Arabidopsis thaliana: one gene and its partners. The protein of the gene in region 1 purifies or fractionates together with the protein of each later gene. This does not show direct contact. Each region holds a gene or a part of one and is shown in the gene's direction. Other genes may lie near its edges. The genes, in order: SAE2, SAE1B, Fes1C and AT5G15400.

What was found.
Region 2: the proteins of SAE2 (region 1) and SAE1B fractionate together in Arabidopsis thaliana (co-fractionation; one large-scale study listed by BioGRID). This does not show direct contact.
Region 3: the proteins of SAE2 (region 1) and Fes1C fractionate together in Arabidopsis thaliana (co-fractionation; one large-scale study listed by BioGRID). This does not show direct contact.
Region 4: the proteins of SAE2 (region 1) and AT5G15400 fractionate together in Arabidopsis thaliana (co-fractionation; one large-scale study listed by BioGRID). This does not show direct contact.

Annotation. Positions count from the first base shown.
Region 1 is NC_003071.7:9,196,973-9,202,953, forward strand, and holds SAE2 (SUMO-activating enzyme 2), read left to right. Parts: upstream 1-1,621; 5' UTR 1,622-1,779; coding exon 1,780-1,812; intron 1,813-1,898; coding exon 1,899-1,988; intron 1,989-2,486; coding exon 2,487-2,570; intron 2,571-2,641; coding exon 2,642-2,860; intron 2,861-3,007; coding exon 3,008-3,109; intron 3,110-3,244; coding exon 3,245-3,703; coding exon of another isoform or gene 3,704-3,712; intron 3,713-3,794; coding exon 3,795-4,024; intron 4,025-4,107; coding exon 4,108-4,201; intron 4,202-4,288; coding exon 4,289-4,471; intron 4,472-4,555; coding exon 4,556-5,164; 3' UTR 5,165-5,478; downstream 5,479-5,981. Other genes in the region: AT2G21480 (Malectin/receptor-like protein kinase family protein), read right to left, coding at 5,781-5,981.
Region 2 is NC_003076.8:20,583,799-20,588,296, forward strand, and holds SAE1B (SUMO-activating enzyme 1B), read left to right. Parts: upstream 1-1,550; 5' UTR 1,551-1,701; coding exon 1,702-1,784; intron 1,785-1,978; coding exon 1,979-2,030; intron 2,031-2,124; coding exon 2,125-2,320; intron 2,321-2,404; coding exon 2,405-2,484; intron 2,485-2,581; coding exon 2,582-2,698; intron 2,699-2,802; coding exon 2,803-2,853; intron 2,854-2,945; coding exon 2,946-3,012; intron 3,013-3,094; coding exon 3,095-3,198; intron 3,199-3,290; coding exon 3,291-3,395; intron 3,396-3,495; coding exon 3,496-3,603; 3' UTR 3,604-3,963; downstream 3,964-4,498. Other genes in the region: HSD4 (hydroxysteroid dehydrogenase 4), read left to right, coding at 4,190-4,372, 4,476-4,498. UniProt on the Arabidopsis thaliana protein: The dimeric enzyme acts as an E1 ligase for SUMO1 and SUMO2. It mediates ATP-dependent activation of SUMO proteins and formation of a thioester with a conserved cysteine residue on SAE2. Functionally redundant with its paralog SAE1A.
Region 3 is NC_003076.8:423,945-428,073, reverse strand, and holds Fes1C (Fes1C), read left to right. Parts: upstream 1-1,695; 5' UTR 1,696-1,861; intron 1,862-1,957; exon of another isoform or gene 1,958-1,979; 5' UTR 1,980-2,005; coding exon 2,006-2,091; intron 2,092-2,284; exon of another isoform or gene 2,285-2,288; coding exon 2,289-2,431; intron 2,432-2,515; coding exon 2,516-2,566; intron 2,567-2,659; coding exon 2,660-2,881; intron 2,882-2,993; coding exon 2,994-3,096; intron 3,097-3,223; coding exon 3,224-3,593; downstream 3,594-4,129. Other genes in the region: AT5G02170 (Transmembrane amino acid transporter family protein), read right to left, coding at 58-215; AT5G02160 (uncharacterized protein), read right to left, coding at 1,050-1,191, 1,435-1,682; AT5G02140 (Pathogenesis-related thaumatin superfamily protein), read right to left, coding at 3,637-3,793, 3,869-4,129.
Region 4 is NC_003076.8:4,997,225-5,005,087, reverse strand, and holds AT5G15400 (U-box domain-containing protein), read left to right. Parts: upstream 1-1,834; 5' UTR 1,835-2,180; coding exon 2,181-3,040; intron 3,041-3,511; coding exon 3,512-3,716; intron 3,717-3,857; coding exon 3,858-4,009; intron 4,010-4,096; coding exon 4,097-4,370; intron 4,371-4,643; coding exon 4,644-4,796; intron 4,797-4,895; coding exon 4,896-5,099; intron 5,100-5,180; coding exon 5,181-5,293; intron 5,294-5,403; coding exon 5,404-5,521; intron 5,522-5,676; coding exon 5,677-5,766; intron 5,767-5,846; coding exon 5,847-6,050; intron 6,051-6,129; coding exon 6,130-6,225; intron 6,226-6,308; coding exon 6,309-6,431; intron 6,432-6,513; coding exon 6,514-6,606; intron 6,607-6,690; coding exon 6,691-6,855; intron 6,856-6,960; coding exon 6,961-7,050; intron 7,051-7,147; coding exon 7,148-7,324; 3' UTR 7,325-7,599; downstream 7,600-7,863. Other genes in the region: DND1 (Cyclic nucleotide-regulated ion channel family protein), read left to right, coding at 1-291, 389-500, 593-829, 916-1,002, 1,119-1,628; AT5G15390 (tRNA/rRNA methyltransferase (SpoU) family protein), read right to left, coding at 7,833-7,863. UniProt on the Arabidopsis thaliana protein: Ubiquitin-protein ligase that may function as an E3 ligase in conjunction with specific E1 and E2 ligases. May also function as an E4 ligase mediating the assembly of polyubiquitin chain assembly on substrates monoubiquitinated by another E3 ubiquitin ligase.

The DNA of each region.
Region 1 (5,981 bases):
CAGAAACGAATATTGGTTTGGGTGTATACACCACCGAGACATTAGTAGTATTTGGTTCATGAAATGAAATCATTTTTTTTTTTTTTTGAATACCAGAGATTCTGGGTCAAAGTCCGTAATCCTCCCAAATCTGAAACCACAGCATATAATATTAGTTTAGTCTCAAGCGTCACTCGAACCGGCAACCTCTAAGCTTCACCTAGGGTTTTTACCAATTAAGCTAACGATATTTGGTATAAATGAATTCTTTTTTAGTTACACTCAGATGGATACTAGGCTTTACAGACAAAGAAGTCGAGAGTGCACAAGCACCAATCCTACTAAATCCATTTTGATCACTTCACAACATGATATCAAGTGAAATGGATATTATTTATGAGGAAGTGTAATTTAATAATCTAGGTTACACCTATGTGTATATAATGCAACAAACAATCAATTAGTAAAACTACACCCCAAAGCGAATTACAAGATCAACACAAAGAGTCACATAAATGTGCATTCAAGAAATGACAATAAACACTAAGGTCTTGAATATGGGAGAACCCAATTAGACGAGATAAAATGCAAGCCAATAACAGGTAATTAGGACTACAAAACAAAGAGATAAAATGCATAACATGATTCAAAATTGGAAACTAAATTGAACAATCAATGAGCTAACTAGGGCTATTAGAGTAATCAACACAAGAGAATGCATCAAGGTAAAGAAGGAGAATCAAGCACATACATTAGTCGTATGTGACTAACGACCAATGAATTAGTGAAACTAAACCCTAAAGTCAATTACAAGTATCATCCCGAGGGAATTACATAAACACCTATTGAAGAAAGGAAATACTAAAGACCAGAGAACCCAATGGGCATGATAAAACACAAGGCAAAGAGCTCTAAGTATCATGACAGAGAAGAAGAGGTAACACACCGAATTCAACACACAATGAAGAAAGAACATTACACCATGAGAGACGTACGATGCTTCCATTCAGTATCCATTGTAGGAATTCATCAAACCAGAGAAAGCATTACTTGAATATACATTCCATCAACCAAGCAAAAAGTCGTGACTGAAATAAACTACAAATTCAACAAAACAAACGTGTTTTGTTTTTATCAAAACGTCATTGTCTAGATTTATTGAATTAAGCTTTAACTCTTAGCAAATGATTGAGATAGTTTAAACAAATATCAAGAACTTAACCTAACGTAAGCTATAAACTCTATATAAAAAAATCCATCAGTAGAGATAGTTTATAAAATTTGAAAAGAAAAAAATTAAAAGGCTTGAGTCCGATCAAACTACTAATTAAAAGCCATCACTAAATTGAGCAAGAAGGTGTAAAGACATTTATATGAAAAAAAATATATATCTTTTTAATTAATGTTTTTCAAACATAAGTTTACATAAAAAATAAAAATTCACTCGAATCAAAATTTTGTTTTGACTCGAATCGAATTGAATTAAAAAAGTCAACTACACTAAATATTCGAAAGAGGAAACTAACAAGTTTACACACAAAAAAGCCCACGTGACTCTTTTTTCTCCAAGAGACGTCTCTTTTCCTCTTCTCTCCTTTGTTCTTTCTTCCAAATTTCCCAAATCCCTCCACAATAAACCCTAGAAAATCAAAATTCGCTACTATTTCTCTGTTCCCTAATTTCTTTCGATTTCAATTCATTAGTCCTAAAAAGCTTTAATTTTTCTAATCCCCCAGTTCTCCTTCTTCTGCTTCTGAATCGTCGTTTAACGTATTGCTCCGTCTTTTCACTTTCTCCGCCATGGCTACGCAACAACAGCAATCCGCCATTAAAGTAAGCTCTGAAGGTGAACTTAAGCTTCTTTTTATTGGGGTGTTTTCAAATTGAAGTCTTTTCAATTCTCCTGTGTTTGGTTTTAGGGCGCGAAAGTGCTTATGGTTGGAGCTGGTGGGATTGGTTGCGAGTTACTTAAGACTCTTGCTCTTTCTGGATTCGAGGACATTCATATTGTAAGTTTCTCAATTTCTTTCCACTTTTTCTGTTTTCGTGACTTTTAGTATTCTTAACTTGTGATTTCTTCTTCTTCTCTATTGAGATTCTGGGTCACAGACGAAAGTTTAAGCATTTCAAATCTCCTATTGTGCTACTGGATTTGATTGGCATTTAGGGTTATTGATGATTTGAGTAATTTCAACATCTTTGAGCTTTTAGATCAAGTTAAGTTTGACTTGGAAGATGGAATCATATGTCTCTAGGAGGACTCTCTGTTTAGCTGTCTTCGCCAATAGGTTTAGTGTAATTTCTAAGACTAGTTAGGCTATTTATAATTTGGTGTGCATGAATTGCTTCTGTTTTAATTTTCGGATTTTGTAGATTTATGATTGATGTTTTGTATCAGAAACCATCGGATTTCACCTGTGCTCCTACTGGATTTCTGTATGAATAGAGCAGGGACTTATAAGATTAGTTTGTAACCGTGATTAAGTTACTGAACTCTTGTGTTACAGATTGACATGGACACTATTGAAGTCAGTAACCTGAATAGGCAATTTCTATTCCGTCGTTCTCATGTTGGGCAGTCTAAGGCTAAGGTAATTTTGCTTGAGCTAAGTCCAAGGAAAGCCAGTTCATAAGAGTTAATATATTTTTACCATATCACCAGGTTGCCAGAGATGCAGTCTTGAGATTTAGGCCTAACATTAATATAAGATCATACCATGCAAATGTGAAGAATCCCGAGTTTGATGTTGATTTTTTCAAGCAATTTGATGTTGTTCTGAATGGGCTGGACAACTTGGACGCAAGGCGTCATGTGAATCGCCTTTGTCTTGCAGCTGATGTTCCTCTTGTAGAAAGTGGGACAACGGGCTTCCTTGGACAGGTTATTCTGCTTGCCTTTTGGTCTTGCAGCTCTTCTTTCTCTTATCATTATTCTATGAGTTAGATGCACTACAATGTTAGGCTTGAATGGTGTACTGTTGTCATTTCTCTCGTATCTGACTTTGCAATACTTGCTTGTAAAAATCAGGTAACTGTGCATATAAAGGGAAAAACAGAATGTTATGAGTGCCAAACCAAACCTGCTCCAAAGACTTATCCTGTGTGTACAATAACCAGCACGCCAACTAAGGTATTAACACTGTCTTGTTTGTTCCAAATTTTTGTGAATCTTGGGGAAATTATATTCTATCTTGGCTTATATAGTATTATCCTAAGCATAGAGCTTGTTTTTGATGTGCCGATGAATTTTGAATTGATTCTGCAGTTTGTGCACTGTATTGTATGGGCAAAAGACCTGCTCTTTGCAAAGTTGTTTGGCGACAAGAATCAAGATAATGATCTTAATGTGCGATCCAACAATTCTGCAAGCTCATCCAAAGAAACAGAAGATGTATTTGAACGTTCAGAAGATGAAGATATTGAGCAGTATGGTAGGAAGATATATGATCATGTGTTTGGTTCTAACATTGAAGCGGCTTTGTCCAATGAAGAGACATGGAAAAATCGCAGACGACCAAGGCCTATATACAGTAAGGATGTCTTGCCTGAAAGTCTGACTCAACAAAATGGAAGCACTCAGAATTGTTCTGTTACTGATGGTGATTTAATGGTCTCTGCCATGCCATCGCTTGGCCTGAAGAATCCACAGGAATTGTGGGGTCTAACGCAGAATTCTCTTGTGTTCATAGAAGCATTGAAGTTGTTCTTCGCCAAGAGAAAGAAGGTCTGTGTGGTCCTTTTTGTAAACTCTCCTTGTCTATAGATAAGTTTCGGTGCACTGATTAATTCATGGTTTTATCGATATGCTGCCACAGGAAATAGGACACCTTACTTTTGACAAAGATGATCAGTTAGCTGTAGAATTTGTTACTGCTGCTGCAAATATCCGTGCTGAGTCTTTCGGAATTCCTTTGCACAGCCTTTTTGAAGCGAAAGGTATTGCTGGAAACATTGTTCATGCTGTTGCTACGACCAACGCCATTATTGCTGGTTTAATTGTCATTGAAGCAATCAAAGTGCTGAAAAAGGATGTGGACAAGTTCAGGTTTGTTACTTTGAAATCGTCTGTGTTTCATAAGGTTTTAGCGTTCTTGATATCTATTTAAAAATCATTTTTGTTCTCTCTAGAATGACATATTGCTTAGAACACCCAAGCAAAAAGCTGCTGCTTATGCCAATCGAGCCATATGAACCTAATCCTGCTTGCTATGTCTGTTCCGAGGTATACACATCATTGTTGTTTAGCCTTCTTTCATAAGCTTCCTTGTATTACCAGTCATCTGATTTTCTTTGTGGTTTTTATCAACAGACCCCATTAGTACTCGAGATCAATACTCGGAAATCAAAACTACGGGATCTAGTTGATAAAATTGTGAAAACCAAGCTTGGAATGAACCTACCGTTGATTATGCACGGGAATTCGCTTCTGTATGAAGTTGGCGATGATCTTGATGATATTATGGTTGCAAACTACAACGCTAATCTTGAGAAGGTTTGGTCTTGATTGTTCTACCATTTGCAATTAAAACACAGGTTTAGATATCGCAATTTCTCACATGCTTGTAATCTTTTTCAGTATCTATCAGAACTTCCTTCTCCCATTCTTAACGGAAGCATTCTCACAGTCGAAGATCTTCAACAAGAGCTATCTTGCAAGATAAATGTCAAGCACAGGTTTTTTTCTGAAATTTTGAATCCTGTTTTAAATTCAGTTTGGTTTCTGATTATATTACCATCGACTTTCCCTAAACTCTTCCATTTCACTGAATCACGAAATCAAGATGGGTTATCATTAGACATCATCCTAGGATTCTCAAATGTAACTATTAGGAGAGTCCTTACCATGTTTGAAACTGGCAGACGTTTAACGCATCCTTTACTTATTCTGTTCTGTCACAGGGAAGAATTTGACGAGGAAAAAGAACCTGAAGGAATGGTACTCTCTGGATGGACACCATCTCCAGCTACCAATGGCGAGAGCGCATCAACATCAAACAACGAGAACCCAGTTGATGTTACAGAGAGTTCCTCAGGATCCGAGCCTGCTTCTAAGAAGAGAAGACTCTCTGAGACCGAGGCCAGTAATCATAAGAAAGAAACAGAGAACGTCGAGAGTGAAGATGATGATATCATGGAGGTTGAAAATCCCATGATGGTGAGCAAAAAGAAGATAAGAGTTGAATAGGCCCCTTTTTTGAAAGATCTGATCCCTAAATGCTTGCTTTATTTATTAGCTTCTTTTTACTTCGATCTAACTTTCTACTTTCTGAAATTATGCCACAAGAATTACAAAGTATGATTTAGGGATTCTTTGATGAAGAAGAAAACTACTCAGATTGTTAAATATTTACTAGGACAGGATCCTTTGGATGAGGAGCTCAGGAACTCATTTTAAGGAAGCAATTTTTGCTTTCCAGAGATTCCTGTTATGTTTTCACTAACTGTAAGAGCTCCCTTGTATCTTTATTTCTTCGAGTTATCAAATTTTCTGTTTTTTTTTTTGTTTTTTTTTGTTTAAGAAATCTCAAACTACTTTTTCAATATTAATAGACTAAAGAATCGGTTGATTATGAAAAGATTTACATACAGTTTATTTGAAAATTTGTTTTTTGAAACTAAGTATCAACAATAACCTATTACACCGCTGTAGAATACATTTCCGTTACAAAGCAAGATAAAAAAAAAAGAAAAAAATTTACCTTACAAATTATACAACAAATCCGATTACCTCAAGAGGATCAATGTTTCATTTTTCTAACTCTTCACACCGTTTGGTTTGGTGCAAATGCTTCATCAGTTTATTATCTTCCGTTAAGGCTAGCAAACTGAGTAAACATGGTGGTTCCAGAGTGTTGGTCCACCGTTGAGTCATCCTTCTCTTCAGTCTGAGAAACTGGACGTTCACTTGCTGCAGCAGTGGTGGCAGCAGGTGAAGTCGGCGCAGCAGCAGGGACAGCCACAGGCTTGGGAGTCTCAACCTCCTCAGCCTCAGCTTTACCCTG
Region 2 (4,498 bases), on another chromosome or scaffold:
TTGTGCTTTTTTTTCTTCTCTCACTATAAAAACACATACATACACAACAGCAATCAAAGCAATATCAAGATTTGTCCTTTTTGATATTGGTACTCTAAATTTAAGAACAAACAGCAAAAACAACTAGTAAACATAAAACCCATGAATCTTTAACTCAATTAAACTTCAACTTCAATACATATGAAGGAAAATAAAAAAGCATAAGCAAAAAGCAAAAACACAATTATAAAGAGTACTCTGAAATTGTAGTTGAAGCTCTAACAAAATGATCTATTTTGATATTGAAAAAAAAACAAAAAAAAAATCCCAAAAAAGGCAAACTAATTGTACTGAAAAAACGAAATGAGAAGTGCAGAAACATAGAAACTAGAACAGATCCCACAAAATGGGAAGAAAGGAAAACAAAAAAAAAAACAAAAAACTTTTTTTCTGTCTACTCAATTCCAAGCAAGAATTAAAAAAATGCAATAAAAATGAAAGATTAAAGTAAGATTATAAACATGTTATTACATTAAAAAAAACTATAGAATAAGAAAAGTTTGTTGTTTGAAGGTTGAGAAATCTTACCAAATCCATACACCTACCAGTAGAGTCAGTAGAAGAAGAAACTCCAAAAGAGAAAGATGAAAATATAAAAAAATGGGACAAGTGAAAAAAAAGAAAGAGAAGATGATGGAGTTTAGCAAGAGAAAGTGGAGACAACAAGTGTGGCTGCTACTTCAATAATGCAAATAAGAGAAAGAGGAAAGAGAGAGAGAAATTGATGATAATAGCTATTACTAAGTTAAGAAATGATTTACTTACTTTAATTGTAACTTTACTTTCCTGATTTAGGGTTTTATTGATATCATTTTTTAAAAACTTTGAGTAAGAAAAAGTGAAGAAAAGAATGGAGGAAAGTGACAGCTGTTGTTGATTGTTCTTTTGCTTACTTTTTCAACTTTTCTTTGTTTATATTTTTCTCTGCCATTCATCAATTCTGAACTCTGAGCATCCGATTTTTATGAATGAACAGAGTATACTTTTGAAAATTTCAAATTACTCATAAATCTTGTATCTTTTTACTGACCCTTATCCAAAATATATTAGTTTTCAAATTGTGATATAAAATAGATGTGGTTTTTTCTTTTTTATAACTATGATGATGATGAAAATGAAACAATAAATTGGAAAGTGATACTAAAGAAAGAGGTATAGGATGCTTAGTTGTTTACGGCAAAAAACATAGCATGTGAATGTTGTGCTTCGCATTACACAACATCTTCTTCTGTTTTTTTTCTTCTCTCTTTCCACCGATACGCGTTATTTTCTTTGACTTTCATAGTTACGGGTCACACAAGTTGTCAATTATCAGGGAGAATCGTATAAAAGTCTTCCATGTCTTTAAAAGTTTTGCAGATGGATTTAAAAGATTTGGGGTCCAAAGCCCATGTTTCATTTGTTTCGGCCCATAAATTGTCCTAAAAAATAACAAATTGGTTATTTATTGAATGCACAGTTGTTTTGAATTTAAAAATTTGTAGTTGACGAACCGGACCAAACCAAAACAAACCATGTAATTTGAATAAATAAAAAGAAAGCAATTTTCCGGTTAACAAAAAATCTCAAACTCAGTGAGTGAGTCACCGAAAACCTCTTGTAGTAGATTCGTGACGGGTTTGATCATCTCTTCGAGGTCGGTTCTAGGGTTTCACTACGAGAATGGACGGAGATGAGCTCACCGAGCAGGAAACTGCTCTTTATGACCGTCAAATTAGGGTATGGGGAGCTGGTGCTCAAAGAAGGTACTTCACATTGAATCTAACTTCTATGGCTTCAAGCAACAACAAGTTATTGATTTTCCGTTTGAGTACTAATAAACTCTTCTTGTTGGGCTATACTCGGTGAAAGTTTATCTCTTTCTGGGTTTTAAGCTAATTTAGCTGTTGAAATTTTGATTAGGGCTTCTCTGAATTTTGTTTTGTGTTTTTGCTTGCAGATTGAGTAAATCTCATGTTTTGGTATCTGGAATTAAGGGCACTGTTGCTGAGGTACCTCTTACTTTATTTTGTGACTCTCTATTAGCTATGTTGCAGTAGAGTGAGTGTTGGCATCTTACTTGGTTTCCTCCATTTGGTGTTGCAGTTTTGTAAGAACATTGTGTTGGCAGGAGTAGGTAGTGTGACTCTGTTGGATGATCGATTGGTTACAACGGAAGTCTTCAACGCAAACTTCTTGATTCTTCCTGATGAAAATGCTTATGTAGGCAAAACCGTAGCTGAGATTTGTTGTGATTCACTTAAGGATTTTAACCCTATGGTTCATGTTTCAATAGAGAAAGGTTACTCCTCCTTTCTTCATTTCTCTCTAATTTTAGTAGAAACAAATGATTTTAGTAACATCGAGTCTATGTCTTCAATTTCAGGTGATTTGTCAACACTTGGTGTTGATTTTTTCGAGAAGTTTGATGTTGTGGTTATCGGCTACAGTTCTCGTGCTACTAAGGTACTGTTGATACCTCCTTCTTTTAGTTGTTCCAGTTGTTTTTGTCTTTTGTTGCCATGTAGATTGATCACTTGAAATAATGTGCTTTGTTATGCAGAAAGCAGTTAATGAAAAGTGTAGGAACCTAGCAAAAGATGTAGCGTTCTATACAGTTGATTGTAGAGGCTCATGTGGCGAAATATTTGTCGACCTTCAGAATTATAAGTACACAAAGGTACTCATCTCGTTTTTTTCTTTTGACGGTTGTATATCACATGCCTTTCTTTTGGCATATAATGTGTTAACTTTCTTTCTCTATTGTCAATTTTGGCTTCATAGAAAAAGCTTGATGAAACAGTGGAATGTGAACTAACATTTCCAAGTTTTGAGGTACAACAAACTTAACTTCTTACTTTCCTGGAACATACTTTCGCATGAAAAGTAATAGAAATTCAATCTATTAACTGGTCTTATTTCTCCAGGAGGCAGTTTCAGTACCGTGGAAACCGATGCCAAGGAGAACAGCAAAGCTCTACTTTGCAATGAGAGGTCTGGCTAACAACAACAGCTAACCTTTTGAAAGCTTGGTTTCTTCCTACGTAACTAATCCGGTTTTGTGATATTCTTGCAGTGATAGAACTATTTGAGGAAACTGAAGGACGTAAACCTGGGGAATGTTCGCTGTCTGATCTCCCAAGAGTTTTGAAACTCAAAAAGGAACTATGTGAAGGAAATGTAAGTTTCTTTAACCTTTATTTGTAAGCTCTACAATAATAACGACAAATAACAAACTTTGTCACTCACTTTGAATCCGAATGTTGCAACAGTCGGTCAGCGAGAATCATATTCCAGATATCCTCTTGGAGAGACTCGTATCTAATAACACAGAATTCCCACCGGCTTGTGCCATCATTGGAGGGATTCTAGGACAGGTACAGTTCTCTATCTCGCTTCTCTAGGACTTTGTTAGTTATCTAGATTAAGCACTTAGCAGAGTAATGTGACTCAAAAAAGTTGTATTTGTACGTACAGGAGGTGATAAAAGTTATATCAGGCAAAGGAGAGCCGTTGAAGAACTTCTTCTACTTTGATGCAGAGGATGGGAAAGGTGTAATCGAGGACCTATCCCACAAGCTTTAACTTCCAAACATGAAAGGTGCTGTGAAACGCTGCTCTTAGTAATTAGTTCCTTGTTGAAGATTGTATTGGAAATTAGACTTTAGAGTACTTAGAACTTGGCTCCTTGTCTTTTGTATCTACTAACTTGGTTCGCTCCTAAAGACAATCTGTAACCCACTATTTACTTTAATCCATCAATTTACACACTCCTATCTATGTGAAGGTGTTCTATTTTGTCCGGAAATTTTCGATTTCGGTTTCTGGCTCTTTGAGTGGCATCTTTATAATATAACAAACAGCAAAATTTGACAGTCTATAGTGAGTTTTGTTATGGTTCATTGCTTAGTGACATTATTTGTTGTTGAGGGAGGTTTCAAACCAATAGAGATGAAAGTGGAAACTTCTCCACAAGTTGAGAAAAATATTTGATAAAAACATAAGTTGGATGAGGACAAACACAAAAGATACCAAATAATGATTTGGAGATTCTCTTATCCTTAATCTTAAATACTAAAGTCTATGACAGTGACATCTGAACAGAAGAAAGCTCAAGAGTATATAAATTGTAGCTTAGCCTCTGGTGAAGCAGAATCACAAAGTCAAGGATATGGATTTAAACAACAAGATCTTTAACATCCTTCTTCCTATTGTCACGGTTTCGTTTCTTTTAGTGTTCATGCCATTTTCAATATTCTTCAAGCTCCTCCAGTTCATAAGGGGATGCAAAGAGTCCGAGAAAGTCAACGGAAAAGTCGTCATCATCACCGGATCTTCCTCAGGAATTGGCGAGGTTAGTTTGTTTGTAATCCTAGAAAAGCTTGGTCTATTTTTTATAAATTGGTTAGTTATTTGGTAAAAAACAAAAGCAATTTGAAGTTGATTTAATGGTGTAGCACCTAGCGTATGAGTATGCTCG
Region 3 (4,129 bases), on another chromosome or scaffold:
GAATAATTTCTTCAGATCTCTTACAAAAACAGAGCACTTAAAAAGAAAATGATTTACCGATAACTTCGAGGCCACGGAACGGGAACGTCTTCGGATCTGTTACGAGATAAAGGAGTTGAGGGAACGGAGCTCTCTGTTTGGCTTTCTTCATCTTCCTCATCGAACGTGTGATACAAATCTTCCCTTTCTTGATCGAATGTCTCGTTTTGCTTCATCTACTTTGTTTGTATTCTTCTACTGTGCTCTGTTTCAAAAACCAACAAAAGGTCTAAAAAGAAGAAGAAGAAGATTGAGAAGAAGCAACTAGGGGACGCAACGAAACGTGTTCTGTTTTCAAGTTCTAAATTATTGTCACGTTTCTTTATATTCTTTAATTAGCAGTCTCCTTACCTATGATGATGTCTCCCTGAATTTGTTTTTCCCCATAATTTAAATGTATTAATGAACAAATTCACGATTTTCCCATTATTCCACCAATAAGATAAATTTAATAATGTCCCATTATCCTATCACTACTAAATCTAAGAAACTTCAAGAACAATTCAAAGAATCTTCTACTCTGACGCGTAAGGTTCATTTACAAAAAATTTAGTTTTTATACAATAATACTATTTGCTTGAAAAAATATAAAAACGTTTCTGGCGAGGTTATTTATAAAACACAGAAATAGACACGTAATGAAGATTAGTTGATATGCATGTGATGTAAGAAGCCAATGACAGTTGGGTCATTAATTGGCCATTAAATGTTCATCTCTAATTACTTATGCAGCAGTTAAATTTATTTTTTGTTCGTTTTATTTTGGTAGCTGAGCACCTTCGTCTATAACTGCTTAAAAACTTACAATAATACTCAGACAATTTCTTACAGAACAAGAAAGCAAAGAAACTTACACATAAAAAAGCAATTGTATATATATATATATATATATATATCCACCCATCTCCAAGCAACCATTGATCATTCCAAGCTATCTACTTTTGCAGAGGTATATTGTAGAGAAGAAGAGGAATGAGAAATGGAGCTTTTTACATATATATGAAGAAGACTTATGATTTATCAATCTGGTTAAGCTTTCCGAGTCCATTGCAGTTAGCACAAACGATCTGAGGAAGATCCTTCCGTGCGGCGTTGGCTCTCAGAGTCACTCCTCCTTTCCTCACAAATCCTGCTCCGTCACATTCCGGACACCTAAACCACACACATTTCAGAGCTTAAACTCACAATGTACAATCTCTGATTCAGTTTACTACATCGGCTAAGAGTTTATGTACGTTTTCAAAATCCATAACAGAGGATTTAGTCCGGTTAAGATAATTCGAATGTTGAACCGGACAATAAACTATGATAATCTGCAATTGATCAGTCAAAATTTGGTTTAACGAGCATTAAAACCGGTTTAAGTCACAAGGTAAAAAGATGAGAGTGGTTTACGTGTCTTTGCGTTTGAAGAGGATCGGGAATGCAGTTCCGACGAGTGCAACGGCGATGGCTCCGCCGATTAAGTAGATTGTTCCGTCAGAAGAGACATCACCGACGGCGGCGACAACTACGGAGGAAGAAGATCTCTTGTTTTTGGGAAGAATCACATTGTTCGGTGATGGTGATCCCCACGAAGAAGAATGTTTCAGGAAGTTGGTTGATGACACGAACGTCGTCTGCAATGCCGGTGCGATCGTCATAATTTAGGGTTTTAAGTGACTGATTTCGATTTGGGGGAAGTAATAAGAAGAAGTGATTTGATTTTTATGGAAAGGTTTTGAATTTGGATTTGCTTCGTGACGTGTCACTCTCTCGAAGTGGATAACGTTTTCACTTGGGATTTTTGGGGTTCTTCAGTTTTCTTTTGTGTGTGGATAAGGTAGGCCCCTTCAAGATATTTCGAGTTAACAATTGGGCCTGTTAAGCCCATTATTAAGTTAGCGTGAACATAAGGCCCAAACTATTTGTCATTGTCTCTGACTCTCTGACCTTCGCAGAGTCTTTCTCTTCTTCCGTTGCTTCAATGGCGAAAGACGGACCTAACTGGGACGGTCTGCTTAAGTGGAGTCTCTCTCACTCCGATGGTACTCGACCTACTTGCCAATTAAGGTACGAAGTTTCTTTGTAATTTCAGGTTTTGTTGGTCACTTAGTGGAGCTTATGTTGTTTGTTGGGTTGTTTTAGAAATTTGCGTGGTTCTGCGTCAGTTTCTTATGAGGAATGAATCATGTAGTGGAATTTGACTATTTGATTTGGTATTGTTTGGTAGATGGTTTTTGATGATATGAAATTGTTTGGTTAGACAGTGAGGAGGATCGAAAATGGTTTGCAGAAGCTATGCAATCACAAACGGTAGATGTAGTCAAGCGGTTGAAGGAGATTACACAGGTATTGCAGACACCTCAACAAGTTTTGGAGGCTCATGAAGTGACCCCTCAAGATATTGAAGGTTCAATATGGAGTTCACTATTGTTTTCTTAGCTATTTTCTCTCTTGTTGGTTACTAAGATTTTGAGTTATGATGATTTGGTAGGTTTGTTGGATGAGTTGCAGGAACATGTTGAATCGATTGATATGGCTAATGGTGAGTCTTTTCATACTTTGACCTTGTAACTTTGTTCTATATCTGTCTTTTGATTGCTGGGCTTAACTTGTACTTCTTTGAATGTATGGGCAGATCTTCATTCCGTTGGAGGCTTGGTACCTCTTCTTGGCTACCTCAAAAACTCCAATGCTAATATCCGGGCTAAGTCTGCAGATGTTGTAAGCACAATAGTTGAGAACAATCCTCGGAGTCAAGAATCAGTTATGGAAGCCAATGGTTTAGAGTCCTTGCTTTTAAGGTTTACTTCAGACACCGATATGCATTCTCGAACACAGGCTCTCGGTGCAATATCATGTAAGCTGCTCTGAGTTCTATCCTATATACTTAGATGGTCGAATGCCTTTTTCAAAAACAAAAATGTCTATCGTAAATCTGATGAATGTATTGTGGTAAATTTGGGGTACAGCTTTGATTCGCAATAATAAACCTGGGATCACAGGTTTCCGGATTGCAAATGGTTACTCTGGTTTAAAAGATGCTTTGGAAACTGATAGTGTGAGATTTCAAAGGTAATAATACTCTTCACTTTTCTTCATGCTTGGATTCCTCTGAACTTTGAGAGAACACAAAGTTGTAACCTTTGTTCTGCTGTTGTCTAACTTTCAAAACTTTTGTCATTACTTTCTCATTCTTCAGGAAAGCTTTAAACTTGTTGCATTATCTTCTACAAGAGAATGACTCAGACTCCGATATTGCTATAGAATTCGGGCTTCACCATTTGATGATGCACCTCGTGTCTAGCTTCGATGCTGATGTAAGAGAAGCTGCTCTTCGAGGATTGCTTGAGCTCGTGAAAGCTAGAAAAGACTGTAGTACTTGTGGTTCTAGCATAGTGAAAGGCGATGAGAGACTCAGACAGATTCTAAAAGATCGGATCAAAGCAATCAGCCGGGTCAAAGCAATGAGCTTGTTTATGTCACAAGAAGATCTATCAGCCGCTAAAGAGGAGAGGCAGCTCTTAGATTCACTATGGACCACAATCTTCAACGAACCTTCTTCTCTTTAGAGACAAAGATACAAAGAGACAAAACCGTCTGTGCTTCCTTATATCATGAGTAAGCACTAAAACCGTCTTTTATGTCTTTGGACCCACCAGCTAAAGCTTGTGTCTTTAGAACACTAGTTAAAAGGATGGTAACCACTGTATAATGACCAAATTTTGATTCTATTTTGAGTTCAAATTTTCTCAGTTTCTCATTCAATGACCTAAAAACAGACCGTACAAGTACCAAATCAAGCTACTGCATGATAAACATAACATAAAAATCAGAAGCCTCTCACTTTGGAGGACAGAAAGTGATAACATAACGAGAAGCTCTACACTTATTCAAACTACTAGAATCATCAAACGCATAACTATAAGCTTTAGGACAAATCGCTTTAAACAGATTCGCGAACAGAGTCGGCTTACACGCCTGAGGATTCGCATATTCACCGGTGCAACAATACTTAGCCGATTGCATCGCCAAGCAAGCACTTTTACAACCAACCACTTTCCCATCTCTCTTAACTTCCAAAGCTGATGGACAACAAATGTTCAAA
Region 4 (7,863 bases), on another chromosome or scaffold:
AATACAGCGTGTTGCTTCTTGCATAAGACAACAATGTATGAGAACCGGGAACTGCAATCTGAGTCTGGCTTGCAAAGAAGAGGTCTGTTACCAATTTGTGTCACCGACAAGCACAGTTGGATATCCATGCTTATCTGGAAACCTTACCAGTGTGGTCAATAAGCCTATGTGCTTAGACTCTAACGGACCATTCCGATATGGTATCTACCGTTGGGCACTTCCAGTCATCTCCAGCAACTCTCTTGCGGTTAAGATCCTTTACCCCATCTTCTGGGGCCTAATGACTCTCAGGTAATTGCTTTGTTTCTGAGCTTAAGGTTTACATCTTGGATATAAAAAAATTCTCTGATTGACATACTGAATCTGTTTTGGGGGTCGCGTTTTACAGCACATTTGCGAATGATCTTGAGCCCACAAGCAACTGGCTCGAGGTTATTTTCAGTATAGTTATGGTTCTAAGTGGCTTGTTACTTTTCACGCTGTTGATAGGAAACATTCAGGTAAACTATGCAAGAATATGTCTTTTCTATGATATTGTGTTTTCATGGAATGTAAGATTTTAAAAAGCTTTTTACTTTACAATATTTTGAAGGTGTTTTTGCATGCGGTAATGGCGAAAAAAAGGAAAATGCAGATACGGTGTAGGGATATGGAATGGTGGATGAAACGTAGGCAGTTACCTTCCCGGTTAAGACAGAGGGTTAGGCGATTTGAGCGGCAGAGATGGAATGCCTTGGGTGGTGAAGACGAGCTAGAACTTATACATGATTTGCCTCCGGGTCTTCGAAGAGATATCAAACGATATCTTTGCTTTGATCTCATTAACAAGGTACTAGGAAGCAGACTTTATACAATCTTGTTAAGACTTGTGAAAGCAGTAAGTGTTAAGTCTCTGACATGTTTGATCTTTCTCAGGTGCCATTGTTCAGGGGCATGGACGACTTGATCCTCGACAACATTTGCGATCGGGCTAAGCCTCGAGTCTTCTCTAAAGACGAAAAGGTACTCATCCCATCATTTCTAAAAATTTATATTTCCAATATTTTGCTTCGGTTTCGGTTTAAGAGTTTACTTGAAGAGTAAAATCTGAGGTTCTTCGATTTTGTTGATTGTCACAGATCATCCGTGAAGGAGATCCTGTACAGAGAATGATATTCATCATGCGTGGACGAGTCAAACGTATACAGAGCCTAAGCAAAGGCGTCCTAGCCACTAGTACACTAGAACCAGGCGGTTACTTGGGCGACGAGCTACTCTCATGGTGCCTACGTCGCCCGTTTCTGGACCGTCTTCCCCCTTCCTCAGCAACATTTGTCTGCCTAGAAAACATCGAGGCATTCTCCCTCGGATCCGAAGATCTTAGGTACATTACCGATCATTTCCGTTATAAATTCGCGAACGAGCGGCTTAAGCGGACCGCAAGATACTATTCCTCAAACTGGAGGACGTGGGCAGCGGTAAATATTCAGATGGCGTGGCGCCGGCGTAGGAAAAGAACCCGTGGTGAAAACATCGGCGGTTCGATGAGTCCTGTGTCGGAGAATAGCATTGAAGGTAACAGTGAACGCCGGTTACTTCAGTATGCAGCTATGTTCATGTCCATTCGACCGCATGATCATCTCGAATAATAATAAAAAGTTCCAATTTTATATCGGTCCAAATAATTGTGTGTTCATTGTTCCTCCTCAATTGTTTACCTTTACTTCTTTAAAAAATCTTTCTTGGAATGATACTTCAACCTCTTACGGTTAAGTTCAAAGTAGATTTTTTGAGCAACAAAATCTTGGAGGAGTTTATCTTGGTAATTTTTTATTTTTTATTTTTTATTAGCAGTAAAAGTAATTGTCTTAATAAGTATAAACGACGTCGTTAGTAAGTACGACGTTTGCATATATCCTATATAGACTTTTTGTCCAAGCTCAGGACTTGCTAAAGCTCGTTCAGAGACTCCAAAAGAGTTCATAAACAAAAACCTACTCCCAGAAAGTTCTTCCAAATCTCTCGCCATGGTTTCTCTCTTCTTTCGTGAATTTTAGTTTTTCTAAATTTAATTATACTTTAAATTGCTAAGTCCAAACTCTTTCGCTTTTGATTCATCGGTAATACAAGTTTAAGAAAAAAAATTCTTATATTTATCTCTCAAATCGAGTTTCGAGTGTTTGATTTGATTCGTAAAATCAATGGCGACGAGCAAACCTCAAAGATCGCCGGCTGAAATTGAGGATATAATCCTCCGGAAGATATTTTATGTAACCCTAACGGAATCAACTGATTCCGATCCTCGTATTGTTTACTTGGAGATGACGGCCGCTGAGATTCTCAGCGAAGGTAAAGAGCTTTTGCTTTCTCGTGATTTGATGGAGAGAGTTCTCATAGATCGTCTCTCCGGCGACTTTTCCGACGCCGAACCGCCTTTCCCGTATTTAATCGGTTGCCACCGTCGTGCTTACGACGAATCGAAGAAAATCCAGTCGATGAAGGATAAGAATCTGAGATCGGAGATGGAGATTGTCACTAAACAAGCGAAGAAGCTTGCTGTTTCTTACTGTAGGATTCACTTGGGGAATCCTGACATGTTTGGGAACTCGGATAAACCTAGTGGTGGATTGGATAATAGGTTGAAGAAGAGGAATGTCTCTCCGGTTCTTCCGTTGATCTTTGCTGAGGTTGGTTCTGGTTCGTTGGATATGTTTGGAGCTAGTAGCAGTGGGGTTCAAGCTCCTCCTGGGTTTTTGGATGAGTTTTTCAAAGACTCGGATTTTGATAGCTTGGACTCGATTCTAAAGGAGCTGTATGAGGATTTGAGGTCTACGGTTATAAATGTATCAGTGCTTGGAGATTTCCAGCCACCACTGAGGGCACTCAAGTATCTTGTTAGCTTACCAGTAGGAGCTAAATCTCTGGTTAGTCATGAGTGGTGGGTTCCACGGGGTGCCTATATGAACGGCCGAGCAATGGAGTTGACTAGCATTCTTGGGCCTTTCTTCCATATTAGTGCGCTGCCAGATAATACACTATTCAAGAGTCAACCTGATGTTGGGTGAGTTCCAACTTATTTATGGGTTTCTATTACTGAGAATCATGTAGTCTTTGGGGCTCTTTTCTTATTGAGAAAGTTTGGATAGTAAGAATTATTGATTAGCTTTTACTCATAGTAGAGAGACTTGATCAAAAAAGGAAAAAAGCAGATATATTTGGCTTATATATGATGCCACTGTTAGGTTGTATACATATTTTAAGCATGATTATATAAATTTAGCATAGTTAGATGATCAGTAGAGGCGAAACCAACAGAAATATTAGTAAGCACTATGTTAAGTTAGAATATTGTGGATGAAATCCATTATTTTGAGCATTTTTTCTGGTCTGTACTGAAGAATCTTGATTGTCCATTTAGTATTTGACAAGGCTTAATTGTGCGAACATAAGAGTTTTCCTGATCCACCTCAGAGGATATACTTTACCTGTTATGAAAATGCTGATATATGTCTATTGTTTTTGTGAATATCAGGCAGCAGTGTTTCTCTGAAGCATCGGAACGTCGTCCCGCAGATTTATTATCATCCTTCTCCACGATTAAAAATTTCATGAACATTTTGTACAGCGGGCTGCATGATGTATTGATGATTTTACTTAAAAGTACTGATACCCGTGAGCGTGTTCTACAGTTTCTTGCAGAGGTGATCAATGCAAATGCGTCTAGAGCCCATATACAGGTAATCATCCGTTTATAAGATGCATATATACTTCGGATCTTTATTCATGAATTGCTATTGTCTCCTCTCGGTTTTATCAAGTTGGTATTTGTCTTTTTTGCTCAAATCAGCATTCTGTAATATGTTTATCTTGTATGACAGGTTGATCCAGTCTCTTGTGCTAGCTCAGGCATGTTTGTTAACCTTAGTGCAGTAATGCTCCGGCTCTGTGAACCATTTTTAGACCCACATTTAACGAAAAGGGATAAGATTGATCCAAAATACGCATTCTGTGGCCATCGCTTAAAATTAAGGTATGGTCCTCAAGATGATTCTACTTGTATTTCCTCACTGATTTTAATAGTTTCATGATGAGCAATATTATTTATGATCCACACCAGCGACTTGACCGCTCTCCATGCATCATCCGAAGAAGTTACTGAGTGGATTGGCAAAGATGCTATGGCAAACGCAAATGATGCTGGGCGAGAAAATGGGAACGAAAGTCGCTTGTTACAATCCAAAGAAGCCACAAGTTCTAGTAGTAATGCTTCTGGGCAAAATGCAAAGTCAGCAACTAAATACACTTTCATTTGTGAATGCTTCTTTATGACTGCTAGGGTCCTCAATTTGGGTCTCCTAAAAGCACTCTCTGACTTTAAACATCTTGCTCAGGTAATCATCATCACAGTTTTCCCGTCCTGGAAATATTGAAGATTTTTTGGAAAAAAAAACGACTTGTGATAAATTATCTTGCAGAAAGCTCTTATTTGATTTGGTTCCTTACATATTGTCTTATTAAGGCGTTTGTTAGTTAAAACGAGAAGGGACTATAGCAAAAACTTGAACTTAGTCACATGTTTACATTGTGAAAGTGTCATTGATTCCTGAATTTGCAGAAGATTGTTATTGTATGGTTCTTCACTTTTTCTTTTCCGCATGACGTAGGACATCTCGAGAGGTGAAGATAATCTTGCAACGCTAAAAGCCATGAGAGATCAAGCACCTTCTCCACAGTTGGAACTTGATATATCCCGAATGGAAAAAGAACTAGAGCTGTCTTCGCAGGAAAAGCTTTGCCATGAGGCCCAAATATTGAGGGTTTGTAATCATATTCTCTGCTCTGATAACATCTTCGGCTTTTCCTCTGGACCGGTAACATGATAGTAATAGCTGCCTTATCTCTATACTGTATTGAAGGATGGAGATTTTATTCAGCGAGCTCTGTCTTTCTATCGCCTAATGGTTGTTTGGTTAGTTGGACTAGTCGGTGGCTTTAAGATGCCTCTACCGTCAACTTGCCCTATGGAATTCTCCTGTATGCCTGAGCATTTTGTTGAAGATGCAATGGAGTTGCTGATATTCGCTTCAAGAATTCCCAAAGCTTTGGACGGGGTGCCGCTGGTATGCTTAGTTTGCTCTCATCAGTCTGTAGAAATTCTCTTTTTGTATTTGCACTGATGATGGTTGTTCTCTTTTCTTAAGGACGACTTTATGAACTTCATAATTATGTTCATGGCAAGTCCTGAATATGTTAGAAACCCGTATCTCAGAGCAAAGATGGTTGAAGTTCTGAACTGCTGGATGCCTCGTTCAAGGTGTTTTTCTTCCCATGAAAGAAAGCTGTACATTTGTCAATTTGTGTTGCTAATGCAACAAGTTCTGCAGTAACGTGGTCCACCATTCTAATTTTTTTTTTTTCCTGCAGTAGTTCTTCTTCTGCTACATCTACTCTCTTTGAGGGACATCAGTTATCGCTCGAGTATCTTGTCAGGAATTTACTGAAACTATATGTTGACATTGAGTTCACGGGTTCACACACTCAGGTGATTGCAAGAGATTTTGTTTAGTGGCTATAATATTCCTGGAGTAATGAACTTCTCTCTATTGCATTGTACTTGAGAATATGTTAGCTCTGGAAGCCAGAATAGCCATTTGTTCTTGCTTTTATTGGAACTGAAATCTAGTTATCCAAATGCAGTTCTATGACAAGTTCAATATTCGCCACAACATTGCCGAGCTTTTAGAGTATCTCTGGCAGGTGCCTAGTCACCGAAATGCATGGAGACGGGTAAATTCTTAGTGAGCTTGCCATGACTTTGAACTTCAACTATCATGTTCCAATGTTTTTCCAAATTTGATGTGTTACAGATTGCAAAAGACGAAGAGAAGGGCGTGTACTTGAACTTCTTAAACTTCTTAGTCAATGATAGCATCTATCTTCTGGATGAAAGTCTAAACAAAATTCTCGAGATTAAACAAATCGAGGCAGACATGTCAAATACTGCAGAGTGGGAGCAGAGACCAACTCAAGAGAGACAGGAGAGAACAAGACTCTTCCATTCGCAGGAGAATGTTAGTTGGATTATCACTTCTTATATCTTGTTTCGTACTCGAATCCCGATCCCATAAAGAACTTTGATTTTCTTTGCAGATTGTTAGAATCGACATGAAGCTGGCAAATGAAGATGTGACTATGCTTGCATTTACATCCGAGGAGATCACTGCCCCTTTCCTACTCCCTGAGATGGTACCTGACCATATTCCTGAAATGATAACCTGCCCTATGATTACCCAACTGATGAGTTTCTTTGTTTGTTTGCACTTATTTAGGTTGAGAGGGTTGCCAACATGCTTAACTACTTCTTGCTACAACTCGTGGGTCCACAGCGTAAATCTTTAAGCCTGAAAGATCCTGAGAAATATGAATTCCGTCCAAAACAGTTACTTAAACAGGTTAGTAGTGATTACAATTACTCAATTCTCCTGATCAAAGTATGTGAGAAAAAACTGACTGATATGATTGTGAACTTTGAAGATCGTTCGCATATATGTTAATCTCGCAAGAGGAGACACAGTAAACATATTCCCTGGTGCCATCTCCAGTGATGGCCGATCATATAATGAACAGGTCAGATCCTTCTTTCTAAACCAAATCCTCTTTCATAATAATAGATGCGTCTCTACTGAACTAAACAAGTGCCCGTTTTTGCAGCTATTCAATGCAGGAGCAGATGTGCTTAGGAGAATAGGTGAAGAGGGAAGAATCATTCAAGAGTTTATGGAGTTAGGCACAAAAGCCAAAGCTGCTGCTTCTGAAGCTCTGGATGCTGAAGCTGCACTTGGGGAAATACCAGACGAGTTCCTTGACCCAATTCAGGTCTTTATCTGTTGAAAGAAACACTAATTTAAACCTAAATCTTGTCTTATTACCATGCACTAATGTCTGTTCTTGTTTTTTTCTTTTCCTTTTCTTTTTTGGCAGTACACGCTAATGAGAGATCCAGTAATACTTCCAAGCTCAAGAATCACAGTTGATCGTCCCATCATTCAACGTCATCTTCTCAGCGACAATGTAAGCTTATCTAACACAATGATGATCACTGATCAGTCACATCTCTCTTTCTCTGAAGATTTTGGCTTTGTATATGATCCTCTTACTTTTGCTGCAGCATGATCCATTTAACCGAGCACATTTGACATCGGATATGTTGATACCGGACATCGAGTTGAAGGCGAAAATCGATGAGTTTGTGAAGTCGCATCAGTCTAAGAAACGGACAAGTGGAGAAGATAGCAGCAACAAGGAAAGGATACAGACTACAAACAGTGATATGTTAATTGATTAATTATGTGTTCCAAAAGTAACAAAATAATAACAATTATTCAGGACTTTTTTTTTTTACTTTTGCTAGGCTTTCTTTTCTATTAGGATTTATCTATCTATTTTAGGGCTTGCTTTCCACTTATTTGATGCCACGGGAAAAAAACTTATAAATATCATGTCTAGAACTGTTTCTATCATAAGTTCGATGTGTTCACGAGTTTCTATGCATTTCGACGTTTGTTCATGGATTACTAGTTGGCATAAGAGTTATGAGTGACCAATTCTTGAAAGGCGAAATTTCTAACTTAATCTTTGATGGCGTGAGGTCGATGCAGAAGAATGGTGAAATCAACACCACTCACTCGATTGAAAAGGCAATACGTTCGACAGAAGGATGTCTTTTATAGAATTTAAGAGTTGTACATGAAGCAAGCGTCGTACCAAAAAAAGAGTTCGAAAGAGTTTTTATAGGCGTCATTCGAAGCCTATAACACGCAAAACAGCGAGAGAATAAGACAACGGTTTCAAAATTAGGAGGAGGTAGAGTGTTGTTGTTTACGT